4 linked regions of the Schizosaccharomyces pombe genome follow. Changing the gene in region 1 together with any one later gene gives a genetic interaction. Each region holds a gene or a part of one and is shown in the gene's direction. Other genes may lie near its edges. The genes, in order: prw1, the13, rpt4 and SPOM_SPCC622.01C.

Region 1 (4,023 bases):
AGGAATCATAGGAATTGAGAGGAGTGCGAGGGCTGAACAATGTATCAAAATCGAAATGTGTTGTGGTGAAATTCAGCCACTTTTATGATGACACAAATCCAACATACATAGCTGAAAAGAAGCTCAGCTTGAAATTGGGGTTTGTACAGATCCAATTACGAATGGTAGGAAATGTTGATTGAGTATTAAACCTACCTGAACTTGGGAAATGAAATCCAGTATACTGCTCCGTAGGACCTATAACTTGTTGCTGCAGCTGGGGCCAATTAATTCGGATCAGACCTTTACTGTTAATATACTAATAAACGTATTGTGTTAGTATTATGAAAGATAAATACGATTTTCAGTGCGAAACACAAGGTTTTTAAAACCTCTAAATATAAATAAAGAATCAAACTTAAGCACTTACAGCAATGGTAGCGAAAACGGCGGAGCAGGCAACGATGAATAAACGGCCCAATTTTCCTAAAGCAAATCCGGCTGCTAAACCAAGAGAGCTTCCAATAAAGATTTGACGGTAATTCAGCTTAAATTGAGAGGTGATAGTAGTTGCAGCACTTGCCGAATCTTCACACAAGACTGGGCGAAATGGGTGAAACCTGTGCAAGAATCCTCTTCCTAGAAGTAAACAATTCATTATGTGAGAGTAAAAAATAAAGAAAAATAATAGAAAAGGTACAAATTTGGTGGAAACGGTTTAGTCTAAAGGTGGGAATTATTACGAAACGTCATGTCTCGAAGATGTAAATAAAAGATGGATAAAGTATCTTCGTTGCTTTTTCTTAATCAGCTTACTGAGAAAGTGTGTGTCTTAAGGTAGATTTATTATAAGAGAAAGATGTAAACAAATGTATTGTGTACGAAGTATTTAAGTGAAAGGTAATTTTGTGCTTCTTCATCATCGTTTCTAAAATTAATAATGTTCCTTTTTAAGATCAACGATCTTTTAGTTTGGTATGACTTGCTTCGAAGTTCTTTTTTCTTGATGTAAAGAACGGCATACATATTGAAACGGGATTGTCTTCATTTTAACAATTAAATTAAATATATTTCTCATTTCTTTTACTAAGGGTACGCAAGAATACGAGGGCATCTTGAATTCGGCTTCTTGCTCGTTTGGTTTTCAGTATGACTTGATGCATTTTCCAAGGATTGCAGAACAGGTGGGAGATCATTATTTTAAATCATATACTTTTTATTCACGCTCAATTGAATATTCAAAAAAAGGAGAACTTCAGAAATTTTGGCTGCGTTTTGCTATTGGCGATACACAAGTTGAATGTACCTTAAAACTAAGAGGAACATAATTTTTTTACCAATTTTAATAATCCTGCTTCTCAAGCGGTTGTTGCCTTGTGTGACTAAAAAAAAGCTTCAAAGTGTTTCTGTTCTTGACGCACTGATTCATGCAGAAGTTAGAGTAGATGAAATTAGCATGAAAGCAAAGTAAAAAAAAACTCATCTAAATTAAAGATTCTTAACTCTCAGCTCTATAAATTTATCTTTCCATCTTGTGTCTTATAGCAGTCCATCGGGAAGCTTGTGCTACCCAAATTATATCTCACTTCTGTATACATATGTTCAGCAAACATAATCATTTTTAGTAATTCAACTTTTTACAATTAACAGTCTCTTTAAAAGTTGCAATTTCTAGCACTGTGGAAACGCATCTCAGGTCGAGAGAGAAGATGAAAAGACGCTAGCCGAAGCATGAGACAAGATTAAGTTTCTATTGTTTTTTCCCATTTAAACATCTATACGGCTGTGATTATATAAAACCTAAACAATCTTAATTTATAAACCAACCTGCACCTATTTAAGAACACTTAGTGTGCACATTAGCGCTGCACGCGTCTACTCACCATCCACCAAAAAGCAGATTCAATCATTTTAACTAGAACATAATGGCTGTATCAGCTGTTCCCCATCCTTCCAAGCAAGCGCAGGCTTCGGAGGAGGGAATAAATCAAGAAAAATGCATCAATGAAGGTATGTCTGCAACGTTTTAACATACAATTTCTAGTTGATCAATGTAAAATGTGTTTCTAATCTGAAACAGAGTATAAAATTTGGAAAAAGAACTCACCGTTCCTTTACGATTTAATAATTACTAGAGCTTTGGAATGGCCTTGTATGTCACTACAATGGTATCCAGAGCAGCAAATGTAAGTCAATCATTTGAATCATAATGTTTAATCTTGTTTATGTGACTCAAAAAACTTACCATTATTTTTTGTTATAGTTTTGCAGAACATGGATATACTGAGCAGAAAATGTTTCTGGGAGTTCGTGCTGATGTTGGCAAATACTTACTAGCTGTTGCGTCTATTCAATTACCCTATTTAAATCAGACTGTTCCTCCTACTACAATGGAGGGAGCATCTGCGGGTGACGAGTCTTCTCTACGTGTTAATATCTCAAATCTTTATTCTCATCCTGAGTCTGTTTGTAGTGCGAAGCTTATGCCACAAGACGATTCTTGTGTAGCTACGGTGGGTAACTATCATAATGATGTGTTGGTTTTTGACAAGGAATCCTTCGAATCTTATAGCTCGGCTAGTGAGTCTCCTCTTAAGCCCAAATATAGATTGACCAAACATACCCAGCCCTGTACTAGTGTTTGTTGGAATTTTCTTTCTAAGGGTACTTTGGTTTCTGGATCGCAAGACGCTACTCTTTCTTGTTGGGATTTGAATGCTTACAACGAGTCAGATTCAGCGTCAGTTTTGAAAGTGCATATAAGCAGCCATGAAAAACAGGTCAGTGATGTACGCTTTCATTATAAGCACCAGGATCTTCTTGCTTCAGTTTCCTATGATCAGTACCTTCATGTTCATGATATTCGTCGCCCTGATGCTTCCACAAAGCCAGCTCGAAGTGTGCATGCCCATAGCGGTCCTATTCATTCTGTTGCTTTCAACCCTCATAACGACTTTATTTTGGCTACTTGTTCGACTGACAAAACCATTGCACTTTGGGATTTACGGAACCTTAATCAACGCTTACATACATTAGAAGGACATGAAGACATTGTAACAAAAATTAGCTTTTCTCCTCATGAAGAGCCTATTCTTGCTTCTACCTCAGCCGATAGAAGGACCTTAGTTTGGGATCTTTCAAGAATCGGGGAAGATCAGCCTGCTGAGGAAGCTCAAGACGGTCCTCCGGAGCTTCTTTTTATGCACGGAGGCCATACTTCTTGTACAATTGACATGGATTGGTGTCCTAATTATAATTGGACAATGGCAACCGCTGCTGAAGATAATATTCTTCAAATTTGGACACCTTCTCGCTCAATTTGGGGTAATGAACAATTAGAGGAAGATGCTACGGCATATTTAAGTTAACCGGTCGTATACAACATTCATTGATATTTTACTTAATGTCCCAAACCTGTTTCTCTCTTTAACTCCTTTTTTTTTCTACCCTAATTGCACATAAAAGCAAGTTTTTGATTAACATATATATATTTAATTTTGTTTTTTTTACATGTTCAGAATACTCGTAAGGCAGCACGAGATAACTCCCATAAAAAGTATTATGAAACGATACAGTGTCGGTAGACGTGTGATTTGCAAACACCTAGAGATAATGTGATTTTCATTTGCAAAACATAGATAGATATTGCAAAGGCCAATGGTAGTACACAAACATACATAAGTTTCTATATCATAAGATGTTAATAAACAAAAGACAGGATTTTCACTTACTTTTTTTCCAAATAGGTGACAAAAACTCGGAACTTTGGTTTATTCCAATACAAATTCCTAAATATTGTAAAGAACTTAAAAGAAATATGCTAGTCACTAGCACGTTTTTCGTATTTGATTTTTCAAGTTGCCATTCAGGTAATTCAACCCAGTTCAACTCGTGTAGTATTAAAGTCAGCAAGCCATGGGATAGCCATATTAATACTGATTGAATTCCTAAATCCTTTACTCTTCCTTTGCCAAACAATGTTGAATTAGGGCGATTGCTTGTCAAATTTTGAGCAGGGTCGAAGTAACTCATAGCTGCTGACAG
Region 2 (3,332 bases), on another chromosome or scaffold:
TGTTATTCTAGCCTATTTAATACCAGTAATTCGACTCGCTCTTGATCACCATCCACCTTCGGTCTCGCGATGATTGCTTATCTGGCATTTATGGAAGATTGATAATCGTAAATAAGTTTATTAGTTGAGTACACTGGATTTTGTTCTATTCAGCTGAATAAAGAGAGATTACAACCGCCAATTTAAACCTTTTGAAGTAGGTTCGCAAATTGTCACCATGCAAGCAGAATTCAAGTCTAGTATCAACGACTTCCTGGAACAGTTACCAAATCATGCAAGGCTTTACCAAAAGCCAGCTGCTTGTCTTGCTGTGTTTCGTTTATTGCCAATTCTAGCTAGACAGTATGTCATGTCTATGCTTTTCAATCCTATGCCAGTAGCACTCTCAGATTTCGATTTATGGATCAAACTTTCGAGTAAAGTTTATCAATCTGAATCCTTCAACAAACTGGTTAGGATGCATATATTTCAATTTGATGGACAATATATCACTCTAAATAGTGAATTTCGCAAACAATTTATAACTGCTCTGACTGGAGGGTAAGTTTTATTGAATTTTGAGTATAAACTAATTAAGCTTTTTAGAGGAAATCACAATTCGTTTGGCGTGCCATGTACCGATGAAGACAAGCACTTGGTGACGGTTGATTTTCTTGACGCATATGCGAAAGAAACTTGGGAAACAATCTTGCACTTCATGGTAGGAACTCCGGAAGCTAAATTTCCTGGAGAAGGTGTCTTAAGTCTATTAAAGCGGGGCGGTTTAATGTCTGGTCCAAAAAACCAGCTACGTATTACCCGTGCCGGTTTTCAGTTTCTGTTACAGGATATAAATGCTCAAATTTGGACGTTACTTTTGGATTATTTAAAACTATCTGAAGACACGCATATGGATCCTGTTCAGGTTTTGCACTTTTTATTTATGCTTGGAAGTTTGGATTTGGGGAGGGCATACTCAGTGGACTTCTTAACAGATACACAACAAATCATGCTTGAAGACCTAAGAGAATATGGATTAGTTTATCAAAGAAAAATTACTTCCAAGCGTTTCTATCCAACCAGACTGGCAACAGGTCTGACAACTGATTATCGCTCATTGCATGGAAAGCAAAGTGAAAATGATGATGATAAAGGTTTTATTATTGTAGAAACAAATTACCGATTATATGCTTACACAAGCTCCCCATTACAGATTGCCATCATCGGATTGTTTGCTAACTTAAGGGCGCGTTTTTCAAATCTTGTTGTCGGTGTGATAACTCGGGATAGTATTCGTCGTGCTTTGATGAATGGAATTGCAGCGGAGCAAATTATTACATACTTGACAACTCATGCTCACCCTCAGATGAGATCGAATGTTCCTCTTTTACCTCCTACATTAGTAGATCAAATTTATTTATGGGAATTGGAAAAAAATAGACTTCGGGCTACTCCTGGAATTTTGTTTCGCGATTTTCTTACTGATTCTGGCTTCGACCAAGCAGTAGAGTACGCAAAAGAACTCGGGGTTTTGGTTTGGGACAGTTCCTTGAAAAGAATGTTTTTCATAACTACGACAGGCGCCCAGCCCATGATCGCATACTTGAAAAGACGAGCTGTCAAATGAATATTTTTTGGATGGTTCAAAAGAGAAGTGGTAATTAGAAAATATTAAATTAATCTCAAATCACTTGTAAGTAATTTACTGGTGTCAATAAACATATATATAACATAAGCTCAACATTAGCCATGTTAACTATACGCGTGTTGGATATTTATACGAAATTCAAGTTTTAATGATGCAACTCTTTAACGTTCAAATTATGAATTTCTTCTTCTCGTCATTAGAAAAAAAAAATATCCGTTATTTGAATAATCCAAACAATATTCATATTCTTGTATTTAATGTTCATTTAATTATATTACCATTTGTAATAATGATTTGGTGATATTACTATAGGCAGGCAAATGGCTTGTAAATCCTTACTAACTACAAGTATCGCTGCTGCGAGTAGCCAAGAACTGCCACAACATAACCAATTCACCTGAGGTACTTACTTTTACAGTGATTGATACCTGTTAAACGAAGTTTTAAGACACAATGGCAATTAATAGCTCTGGTACTAAGGTGCTTTCTTTCGTTCGTTCTGTTTGGCAGGATTTTGTAAATACCAATGGGTTTGATGCTCATGTAGTCAGTGATATACAAATTATAAGTGCAGTTCCAGGATTTGTAGAATGCTCTCTGAAACTGCAGAAGCATCACCTAAATCGTATGGGTAATTTGCATGGCGGTTGTATTGCAGCACTCACTGATTTGGGAGGAAGTTTAGCATTGGCCAGTCGAGGGCTTTTTATTTCTGGCGTGTCAATAGATATGAATCAAACTTTTTTACAAAGTGGTGGTACTTTAGGTTCATCAATTTTACTGCACGCAAAGTGTGATCGATTAGGATCAAACATTGCTTTTACGAGCGTTGATTTTTTGACATCTTCTAATGAGGTCTTTGCTAAAGGTAGGCATACTAAGTTTGTTCGAAATGCTTTAGGAGATCCTAGAAATTGCCTTGACTTAGCCGAAGATTAATTCTGCCTATATTTTATATCTTTCTCTGGCTATTCGCTTTTTCTGCTCTGTTTTACTCGCTAATGTTGATATGTTTTACACGATTTTTTCAGTTTTCATAAATTTAGGAATTAAAATAAGGGATTTTGCTATCCGTCGTTATCTATTGTAAGCTCATGTTATGGTTCGGAACATGCTCGCGTTTTAGTTTACAGTCACCGGTTTCCTTTTAATAACGAAACTTGGGCTGAATTCGCTCATGAAAACACTTAGTCCGGAAGGGAGTTTATGGGTGTTTGGTTATGGCTCTTTAATTTGGCATCCGCCTCCTCACTATGACTATAGTATTCCATGTTTTATAAAAGGTTATGTTCGCAGATTCTGGATGCGTAGTGAGGATCATAGGGGCACTGTTAACTCACCTGGTCTCGTTCTCACCTTGATACCTTATGAAGAATGGAAGCAATTTTCTGACTGGTCTTTCACCCCGTTTGATGAAGGATGCTGGGGTATGGCATTTCGCATTCCTGCAAAATATGCGACGCAAGTGCGAGAATACTTGGATGATAGAGAAGTCAATGGTTATACCGCCCATAGTGTTCCCGTTTATGCCCATACCGGTGATGAAATTCCGGTTTTGGAGAATTGTCTCGTTTACGTGGGTACTTCAAAGAGTCCCCAATTTCAGCCCTCAGACGACCTAACTCAAATGGCTAAAATCATTTCTACACGAAGAGGAAAGAGCGGAGATAACTTTGTTTATCTATTTGAGCTTGCAAAATGTTTA
Region 3 (4,460 bases), on another chromosome or scaffold:
AACCACTTAGCCAACAAAGGGATAGCTTTGAACTTTGTACCACCGGCTATAGAGATACCGGTTCATGTACTTCGGATGATGAGGATTCGATTCATGAGCCTTACCGTCCCGCTTCCACTCAACCAACTGAAAACCCCCCAGCGATGCCTGATCATAACGGAAGTCCAACCACTGAGCCACCTAAACCAAACGCTTTTGAATTAAAAGAAGAACGTCTTAAAGAAATTATCAGCGGGGGATTTGCTCTGGTTGATGAGCTTTGCTCTCTGAATTCCAAGTTGTGGTTTTTTCGAAAATCAGTTTTAACGATTATGAAGACGACAGTATTGCATGGTCCTGGGAGGTTCTCGGCTCAAGTTGAACGAATGTTAAAGAACCAAATTTATGACAAGCTTTCAAACACTCAACTAGTGGGAGATTTATTAACTTCGTTAATCTTAAACGTATGGCCCGACGAAAAAAAAGCCATGGAATCACATTCGACAAGGGCACACAGACGTTCAACTGAATCTAAAATTTCCTTTGATAGCGAAGCCGATTCCCTTTTCGAAGAGGCTAGCAAATCTGTTCCTGAAGACCCTGTTTCAGTTTTTTGTGACGAGGAAAGCGATGAAAGTTTGAGATTACGAGCCGAAAAAACCCTTGTTGAAAACGCTTTATCTGAGAATTTTACTCTTATGCTTGGACAGTCAACCTCCGAGGAAAGCCTAAAAATTATTTTCGAACTGCTTCAAGAACCGCAATTCGTGCAAGGGTTCCTTGCACATTTACTTAGCAATGCTCTTCGTAGCATCATATAGTCAATCAAGGTATATCGCAAGTGTGCCGTATATTTATTTCTTTTCGCCGATATATACCTGGCATTTTAATGATTTTTACTTCTTTCCCTTTTTTATCATTTTGTTTCCCTTCTCTTACATTTTAAAATTCCATTAGCTTTTGGTCGATACGTGATGACCGGTTTCATGATTAATCGCAAAATCAAACGAACCTTTAGAACCATTCCCTTGTTTTCTACCTCGTTTGTTAATATTTTATTATCCTACTTTCTTTTATATATTTATTTATAAAATCGTATTTTCGACTTTACCTTGCTTTAAGATTTGTTTGTTTAAAGTTGGCGAAGTCGAGAACTATCTTCTCTATCTTTAGTCAAGTTTGCGTTAATTTATACATATTGAGTTTCGTTTATTCGGTTAATTGTTCGTTCCGTTTTACAAGCAATCTAGCTTTTTGTGTAAGAAAAAGTTAGACGTGTATATGTTTAGAAAATTTAGTTGTAGGAACTATGATATTAATTGACAATCATATTCTGACACAAGTGGTCAATTGAATTGGATTGTTCAACTTAAGAGACCAAGTTTTGGCGGATTAAGCATAATTTTTGTTAACAGAATGACTTGAAGCAACTACCAAATTGTTGACATAGCAGTACCCAAAATTTTACGAAGGATGAAATTTTTTAAAGCAGAAAACGTTCGTTAATTTTGAGATTAACAGTAATTCTAGCATCTTCAAAGTTTGATGTTTGCTCAACAAGTTTTTGTTTTTACGGATAGCGACAGGAGTGTAATACCTCTGGTTTCGAGAAAACTTAAATATGAGAAGTTTAAACAAAATAATAATGCATTTTCGGTTGGGGTTTCAGCATGAACTTGCAAAACTGAAAAGATACTCAATTCAAACTTCAAAATATTCTTTTAAAGAAAACTGTAGTCTAGTAATCATACTGCTATTATAGAAAAATATAATCTTACGCAAGAACAGATTCCGCTGAAATTCGCAATGCTTATTTAACGAAAACGACTTTAGTGAAGTTTTAATAATTTCTAAGAACGTAAAATACCGAGTAATTGGATTCCCATTTGCTAGTATGTTCTGACCAGAACTAACACATCTTTTGCGAAATAACCATGTCGGAAAGAGACACTGCTTTAGAGAAATATAAATCCTATTTATTACAACATCGAGAATGGGATTCAAAACTGAAGGATTTGCGTTTTGGAAATCGAGATCTAGTCAAGAAATATGATAAAACAGAGGATGATATAAAAAGCTTGCAGTCGGTTGGTCAGATTATTGGAGAAGTATTGAAACAACTTGATTCTGAAAGATTCATTGTAAAAGCTAGGTAAGTAATTACTCAAACTTTTGGGAGATTGTTTGCTTTACGTGGAGGATATATACAAGTGAAATGTGAAAATGGATGTGAAGACCTTATTATTAGTAATGCATATGTTGGGCGTTGAATTCCTTCATAAAGAATTTTTTGTGGCGTATGAATGGGAACCATGTTTAAATGCATATAATCATTTGCCCGTTCCTTTTTTTTTTTAAAGATAAGTTCAGTGGGCAAAATCTGTGTTCAAAAACTGTTTGGTTCTAACCTCTCCATCCAGCAAAAATTCTTTTTGAAATGCGCACACGGTATAAAAATCTATAACCGGAAGCATGAAACACTCTGTTTACTGGTTTCATAGCAAATCGTTGGGAAAGTAGATACCTCACGTATAGTCATCCTTCTCTTTTTACAAATCTATCGTTGCATTAGTACACTATTTTTTATTTCCTTTCATTATTTTCTGTTTCCCTAACCTATTCTAGCTCTGGTCCACGTTACGTTGTAGGTTGCAGAAACAATGTCGACCAATCTCATTTGGTTCAAGGCGTTCGTGTATCTTTAGATATGACCACGTTAACCATTATGCGTATTCTTCCTCGTGAGGTTGATCCTCTCGTTTACAATATGTCAATTGAAGACCCTGGTGACATTTCTTTCGCCGGTGTCGGTGGCTTGAATGAACAAATTCGTGAATTGCGTGAAGTTATTGAACTACCTTTAAAGAATCCGGAATTATTCCTTCGTGTGGGAATTAAGCCACCAAAAGGTGTTTTGCTCTATGGTCCTCCTGGTACTGGTAAAACTCTTTTAGCTCGTGCCGTGGCGGCATCTTTAGGTGTTAACTTTTTAAAAGTAGTTTCCAGTGCTATCGTTGATAAATATATTGGAGAATCTGCTAGAATAATTCGTGAAATGTTTGGCTATGCAAAAGAGCATGAGCCATGTGTTATTTTTATGGACGAAATTGATGCTATTGGTGGTAGAAGATTCTCTGAAGGAACATCTGCTGATCGTGAAATTCAGCGTACATTGATGGAATTATTGAATCAGATGGATGGTTTCGATTACCTTGGCCAAACGAAAATTATCATGGCGACAAATCGTCCTGATACTCTAGATCCTGCCTTGCTTCGTCCTGGTCGTCTAGATCGTAAAATTGAAATTCCCCTACCAAACGAAGTTGGTCGTATGGAGATTTTGAAAATCCATTTAGAAAAAGTCTCTAAACAAGGCGAAATTGACTATGAAGCATTGGTTAAACTGACAGATGGAACAAATGGTGCTGACTTGCGGAATGTGGTTACAGAAGCAGGATTCATAGCCATTAAAGAAGATCGCGACTATGTCATTCAGTCCGATTTAATGTCCGCAGCTCGTAAGGTTGCTGACCTGAAGAAACTTGAAGGTACAATTGATTACCAAAAGCTTTAGTGCACATATATCCAAAAAGCCATGAAATGATAAGTTTACCGATGAAGATTATACGCGCAACTGCATAGTTATGATTAAAAAGGTCGAATAGTAAGTGAAACGTTTACTTTTAATATATTCCGACTCTTTTGGCTTTTATCATGTATATATGAATATGCTTGATGGGAATCTATGTATATTATCGTAAGGCATATCTGTGATAGTACAAACTGATTTTCTTCAATATTTGATTATGTTTTCCATATCCTCCAAATACCAAACATTGTTTTTCCACTCTACATAATTTACTGGCGACAAAAGAAAAAATGATCAAGTAAAAATAAACAATTAATTATACACATGAATTAAAAGTAAAGCAAATGTTTGACTAGAAATTATTAACTAACCAAATGCACTGAAGTGTAAAGAACGAACTAAATATATTGAACGAAACCCGGTTCAAAAATGCAAAAATTCTTCTCTTCCCAGGAAGGATAGTTTGAAGTTATCCTTAAAAGGTAGTAGACCTTTGACAAAGAAACGAGGAAAAACGTCTAGTACGCTAAGATAAAAGAATAAGAGAGGTGAAAATCATAGCTGGCTTCATATAAGCAGCCAAACTAGTTATTATAGTACTAGATGAAGCTGAATGCGCAGTTTAGAAGTCATTTTATCCCATAATTTCAAGAAAGTAAAGGCAAGATAAAGATAGCCAGATAGAGTCATTGAAAAAGACGACGAAAAGGCGTAAAACAAAGAGCGCAGAAATGAATAATCTAAAAAATTACAAATGAAGTATTAACGTATTAAAAGGAAAAAAGTATGAAACGCAAATAACTGATAATAAAATGATTAGCAAGCTAGTTTCTTTAAAATCGGCGTACAGTTTCCCTCTTTTTGTTTGTCAAAGAAGAGTAAGCGTAGGAAA
Region 4 (3,977 bases), on another chromosome or scaffold:
AGACGAATAATAATGAATGACTAAATCCCTCAAAATAATACTTAACATCAACAACACAATTGGCAAAAATTATGAAAAGGAAAACGTACAAGAGCCATTGAGTTTTTTTAAACACATCGTTCGCAACATCTGAACACTCCCTATAGGTAAAATCCTCCTTGATAACTATTTCAATGTCAGGTTGTGTCATGTTGATAAATATAACACAAAATTTAGCAGATATTGGCCAGAAAATGAAAATGCTTTTGCATAAGAAGAATAAATATTTATCAAATAATACAGAATATTTAGGTCGGGATTGTGTAGGCAGAGAAATTGAATATATTGGTTGAATATCAAAATCGTTAAACCTCTGGTCTTGCGCTCCAATTACTCATTAACAACGATTGTCGAAATCCTTTGACTTTTAAGCATTTTATTTCATATTAATATTTTTTCGCAATTTTTCTTGTTTTTAAACGGATTTGTTCAAACTAGCTGTTTTGCCTCCCACAAAAATATGAATCCAAAGAAATCCATTCAACTATGGGAACTCCAGTCGTTACTTAAAGGTGCCACATACAAAAAACTAATTGAAAAGAAAACGTATGAAGCCGGTAAGGAACGAGCTGATAATTATGACTTTTTGTTTATGTCTTTTATCTCCTTCATCGTGTCTTGCCGTCTTTTCATTCTTGTGTTTACTTTCATCTTTAAAGGTTTTCCATCAGCTATTCAAGTAATTGCTATGATCGATGCTGTCGTAAATGCTTTACTCATACTCATAGTACTTGCGATGCTCTTTATAGGTTCTCGTAAACTGACAGTTGAAATTCGACGAGGTGAAGTTGAGGACTTTCAAGAGAATCTTAAAGCAAGAGAAGATACATTCAACTCTTCTCCATATCAGAGGTATTAATAACACCTTCATATATCGCTTTTGGGCACCTATTCCTTTACGCCTGTTTCACTTTGTTATAAAATATTTCGTTTCCATTCCGCTGCCTTTAATCTTATTACTCCTTTAATATTTATTCAACATTTAAGTCACTACTAATCTAAAAATTAACTTAATAATTCAATACTATTTTTATCTAAAACGTATTCGTTTCATAAACTTGTCTCGTAATGCGAAATGGAAGTGTGTTGAATACATCGACCCTGAACGAACTCATCTTCCAAAATTTAGAGCACTGTTCGATATACTGGTTTGTACTATTCCTATATTTTCGACACCTCTTCATATTTCATTTTGAACTTCAATTCATTTAATATATCATTCACAGATTAATTAATAAAATACAAATTATCATCTATTCTACATGTCTGCCTCAAAAACTCGGCTCACAATGTCACCGATTATGGCATTCTCCTTATTATATTAGACAAGCACTTCAAAAACATAATTGAAACAAAATATACGGCCAATTAAGGTGCTTCTTGAGCGGGACTGGACATTTGTTGCATAGGAATTTGCACCAAATCCTCTGGAACGGTGACTTTAAGCGGATGTTTCGACAAGAAATAGTAAAGGATGTTTCCAACAAGCATCAACGTAGAGCACAAAATTATGGGCAACCCGTGCTCCATTGTGTCTTTCCTGGATGAAGGATGCGACATTTCTCGAATGAAAGCGATCAGGCAGTAAATGAACGCAATTCCGAGCCCAGCAAAGTTACTAATCAAAAGAGGAAGTGTGTATTGAAATTTGTTTAAAGAGGACACCCATAACTTGTGAGAAACTTCTGGGTCTGGGGAAGAATTCGGTGTATTATCAATAATTGCTTCAAGTTTCGAGATATTTGCTGCCATCGTGAAACTGTTCAGCAGAAAGAAAAGAATCAAAACAGATGTCCAAGAATAGAAAAAAAGAAAAGAAAATCAAACTGTGAATGTCGCTCCTTCAGCGCTTTCCAACACCGGATTTCTTGCTTCGGGTAGGTAGGGTTCAAGGACATTTTCCACATTTGGGCTAACCGCAGTATCCTCCCTCTTTACTCAGTGTAGCAGCGGGTATAGTGAAAACCACATCGGAATGACGTTGTTGTAATAAAAAATACCTGAAAACTTTACTTTGACTTTTTGAAACGTACTTATTCCTAATTCCTTCCTGTAAATTCACTTTTCCTACGATGACTGTGGATAATGTATTCATCCATGCCGTCCCTCGCGAGCAAATTCGACGACGTTACTCTTACTTCGAAGCATTTGAAAAGAATTGTCATATACAAGGAATTCTTTCAAAACGAGCTCTTTACATGCTAATCCCATGCTTCATGGAGTTTGCGGTTGGCTCCATCGTTTATAGTTTTGGTGTGCCGGGATGGGTGTTGGGAATGAATACTGTGTTGGCGGCTGGATTCCTTGTGATGTTCCTGTTCCTTGTGTGGCCGTGTTTTCAACTTGTAGATGAAAGACAAATTGAGGAACCGGGAGAAGATGAAATGGCGCTCAATGCCGGTGGTTATTATCCTTATGCCGAAGAGGTACCTCCTCCCAGTTATCCATCGCTCGAAGAGGAGAACGAAGGAAACGAAGAAATAGAAGAAAGTGAAGAAATGAACACCCTTTTATCAAAATAAAAAAAGTGGTTCATATGAATGGTGTGACGGTGGCGCTGATTTTCAATCCGACTCAATCCATTCAAATGAGAATTCCGTAAATGCAGTGCAATAAGAAAGCATTGGGAATGTGATTAGCCAACGATATGTCTTACTGTGTTTGATTCTCGTATTTTCATTTAATTTATTGTGTCTCGAAGAACAAAGAGGAAATTACCCGCGATATTTATTTACTTACATTGGCGTTCCCTTTAACTTCCAAAACACTTTTTTTTAATCAAGGAGATTTGGTTTTATTATATTAAATTGTCTTTGTACTTGCAATTATACTTTTTTTCGATTTTTTATTTGTCGTTTACTTCCAACTCAATGAATCATGATCTTTCAAACATAGCTGGCCTCTTCAATCCTTGATGATGCGTGTTTGCATGTATATTTGCATACAATTATCCATATCCTTAGACAAGTACGGGTTATATATAGTATTGAGGCTACATCTACTGCTTGTTTAGCGTTGATAAAATTGATCGCACACATGCATAAGGCCCATTCACCATGCTTGCATAAATCGATTGCAGAGCTTTACCATTGTTTCCGACTAATATAAAACTAAGCAAAGATAGGAATTCCATAATAGCTCAGTTTTTCCACCTCGCAAACATTGCATTTCACTTCCTTTATTTATTTACTCACCTTATACCGAGCGCTCTAATACTGAGATAACGGCTATATTAAGAGTTGCCTTAGCGAAACGGGGTGCAAAACCCATAGTTATCCATGCGTCCCTTTATAAATTTTTTTAATGATGCGCAAAAGTGCAATGGTCTCTGTAATTCCATTACTAAGGTAATGAATTACTATAATATTAATTTTAATAAACAATATTGTGTTGCTTAACATTATCATTACTCTCAAATAGGTTACAAGTAAATTGAGAAATGTGGATTCAATTGTATTGCAAAAAAAATATTGGAATACCAAAAAAAAAATAATAATGTAATAAAAGGGTTTTATACCGAGCAAAAGTAATAGCATTTGCTACGAATTCTTACACTCAGCCAGATGCAAGAATTTGCTTGGATAAAGGAATTGCCGTCAACTTTATTAAGATAACTGATGCATCGATTTTTATCACAATGCTTCCCACCATTTATTAAAGTTTTTTTTAAATAACAAAGTAAAGAGAATAAAAAAATTAAACTCGAATATCATTAAAAAATTAAGAAAATGAGAAAAACGAGTTAGACAAAGATTTGAATGAAACAATGATTGAATATATAATGAGTATGCTAGGACGACTAGAGAGTTTCCCAATTTCATTAGTTAATTATGACAGTTAATTAGTGAACTACTGTTTTCCGAATAAATAAAATCATACTTTTAATCTTCATAAATCGCGTCCATAACAAATTAAAAATTCGATGCCCAGTACATGTT

What was found.
Region 2: mutations in prw1 (region 1) and the13 together harm fitness less than expected from each alone (positive genetic interaction), as found in Schizosaccharomyces pombe (one large-scale study listed by BioGRID).
Region 3: mutations in prw1 (region 1) and rpt4 together harm fitness more than expected from each alone (negative genetic interaction), as found in Schizosaccharomyces pombe (one large-scale study listed by BioGRID).
Region 4: mutations in prw1 (region 1) and SPOM_SPCC622.01C together harm fitness less than expected from each alone (positive genetic interaction), as found in Schizosaccharomyces pombe (one large-scale study listed by BioGRID).

The regions. Positions count from the first base shown.
Region 1 is NC_003424.3:5,109,756-5,113,778, reverse strand, and holds prw1 (histone chaperone, Clr6 and Rpd3L complex subunit Prw1), read left to right. Parts: upstream 1-1,896; 5' UTR 1,897-1,904; coding exon 1,905-1,989; exon of another isoform or gene 1,990-2,059; coding exon 2,060-2,165; exon of another isoform or gene 2,166-2,242; coding exon 2,243-3,347; 3' UTR 3,348-3,485; downstream 3,486-4,023. Other genes in the region: fun14 (integral mitochondrial outer membrane (MOM) protein), read right to left, coding at 83-298, 410-637; Ca(2+)/Mn(2+)-transporting P-type ATPase P5 type Cta5, read right to left, coding at 3,486-3,664, 3,711-4,023. UniProt on the Schizosaccharomyces pombe protein: Has a role in chromatin assembly and chromosome segregation. Involved in the deacetylation of histones.
Region 2 is NC_003423.3:3,753,853-3,757,184, forward strand, and holds the13 (acyl-CoA thioesterase), read left to right. Parts: upstream 1-1,996; 5' UTR 1,997-2,080; coding exon 2,081-2,566; 3' UTR 2,567-2,797; downstream 2,798-3,332. Other genes in the region: transcription factor TFIIH complex subunit Tfb2, read left to right, coding at 218-540, 586-1,606; glutathione-specific gamma-glutamylcyclotransferase Ggg1, read left to right, coding at 2,805-3,332.
Region 3 is NC_003421.2:403,699-408,158, forward strand, and holds rpt4 (proteasome regulatory subunit Rpt4), read left to right. Parts: upstream 1-1,902; 5' UTR 1,903-1,913; coding exon 1,914-2,131; exon of another isoform or gene 2,132-2,185; intron 2,186-2,553; exon of another isoform or gene 2,554-2,604; coding exon 2,605-3,553; 3' UTR 3,554-3,897; downstream 3,898-4,460. Other genes in the region: mug122 (PX/PXA domain protein), read left to right, coding at 1-800.
Region 4 is NC_003421.2:1,402,890-1,406,866, reverse strand, and holds SPOM_SPCC622.01C (uncharacterized protein), read left to right. Parts: upstream 1-1,965; 5' UTR 1,966-2,111; coding exon 2,112-2,561; 3' UTR 2,562-3,416; downstream 3,417-3,977. Other genes in the region: SPOM_SPCC622.04 (uncharacterized protein), read right to left, coding at 1-190; SPOM_SPCC622.03C (uncharacterized protein), read left to right, coding at 500-898; SPOM_SPCC622.02 (uncharacterized protein), read right to left, coding at 1,408-1,791.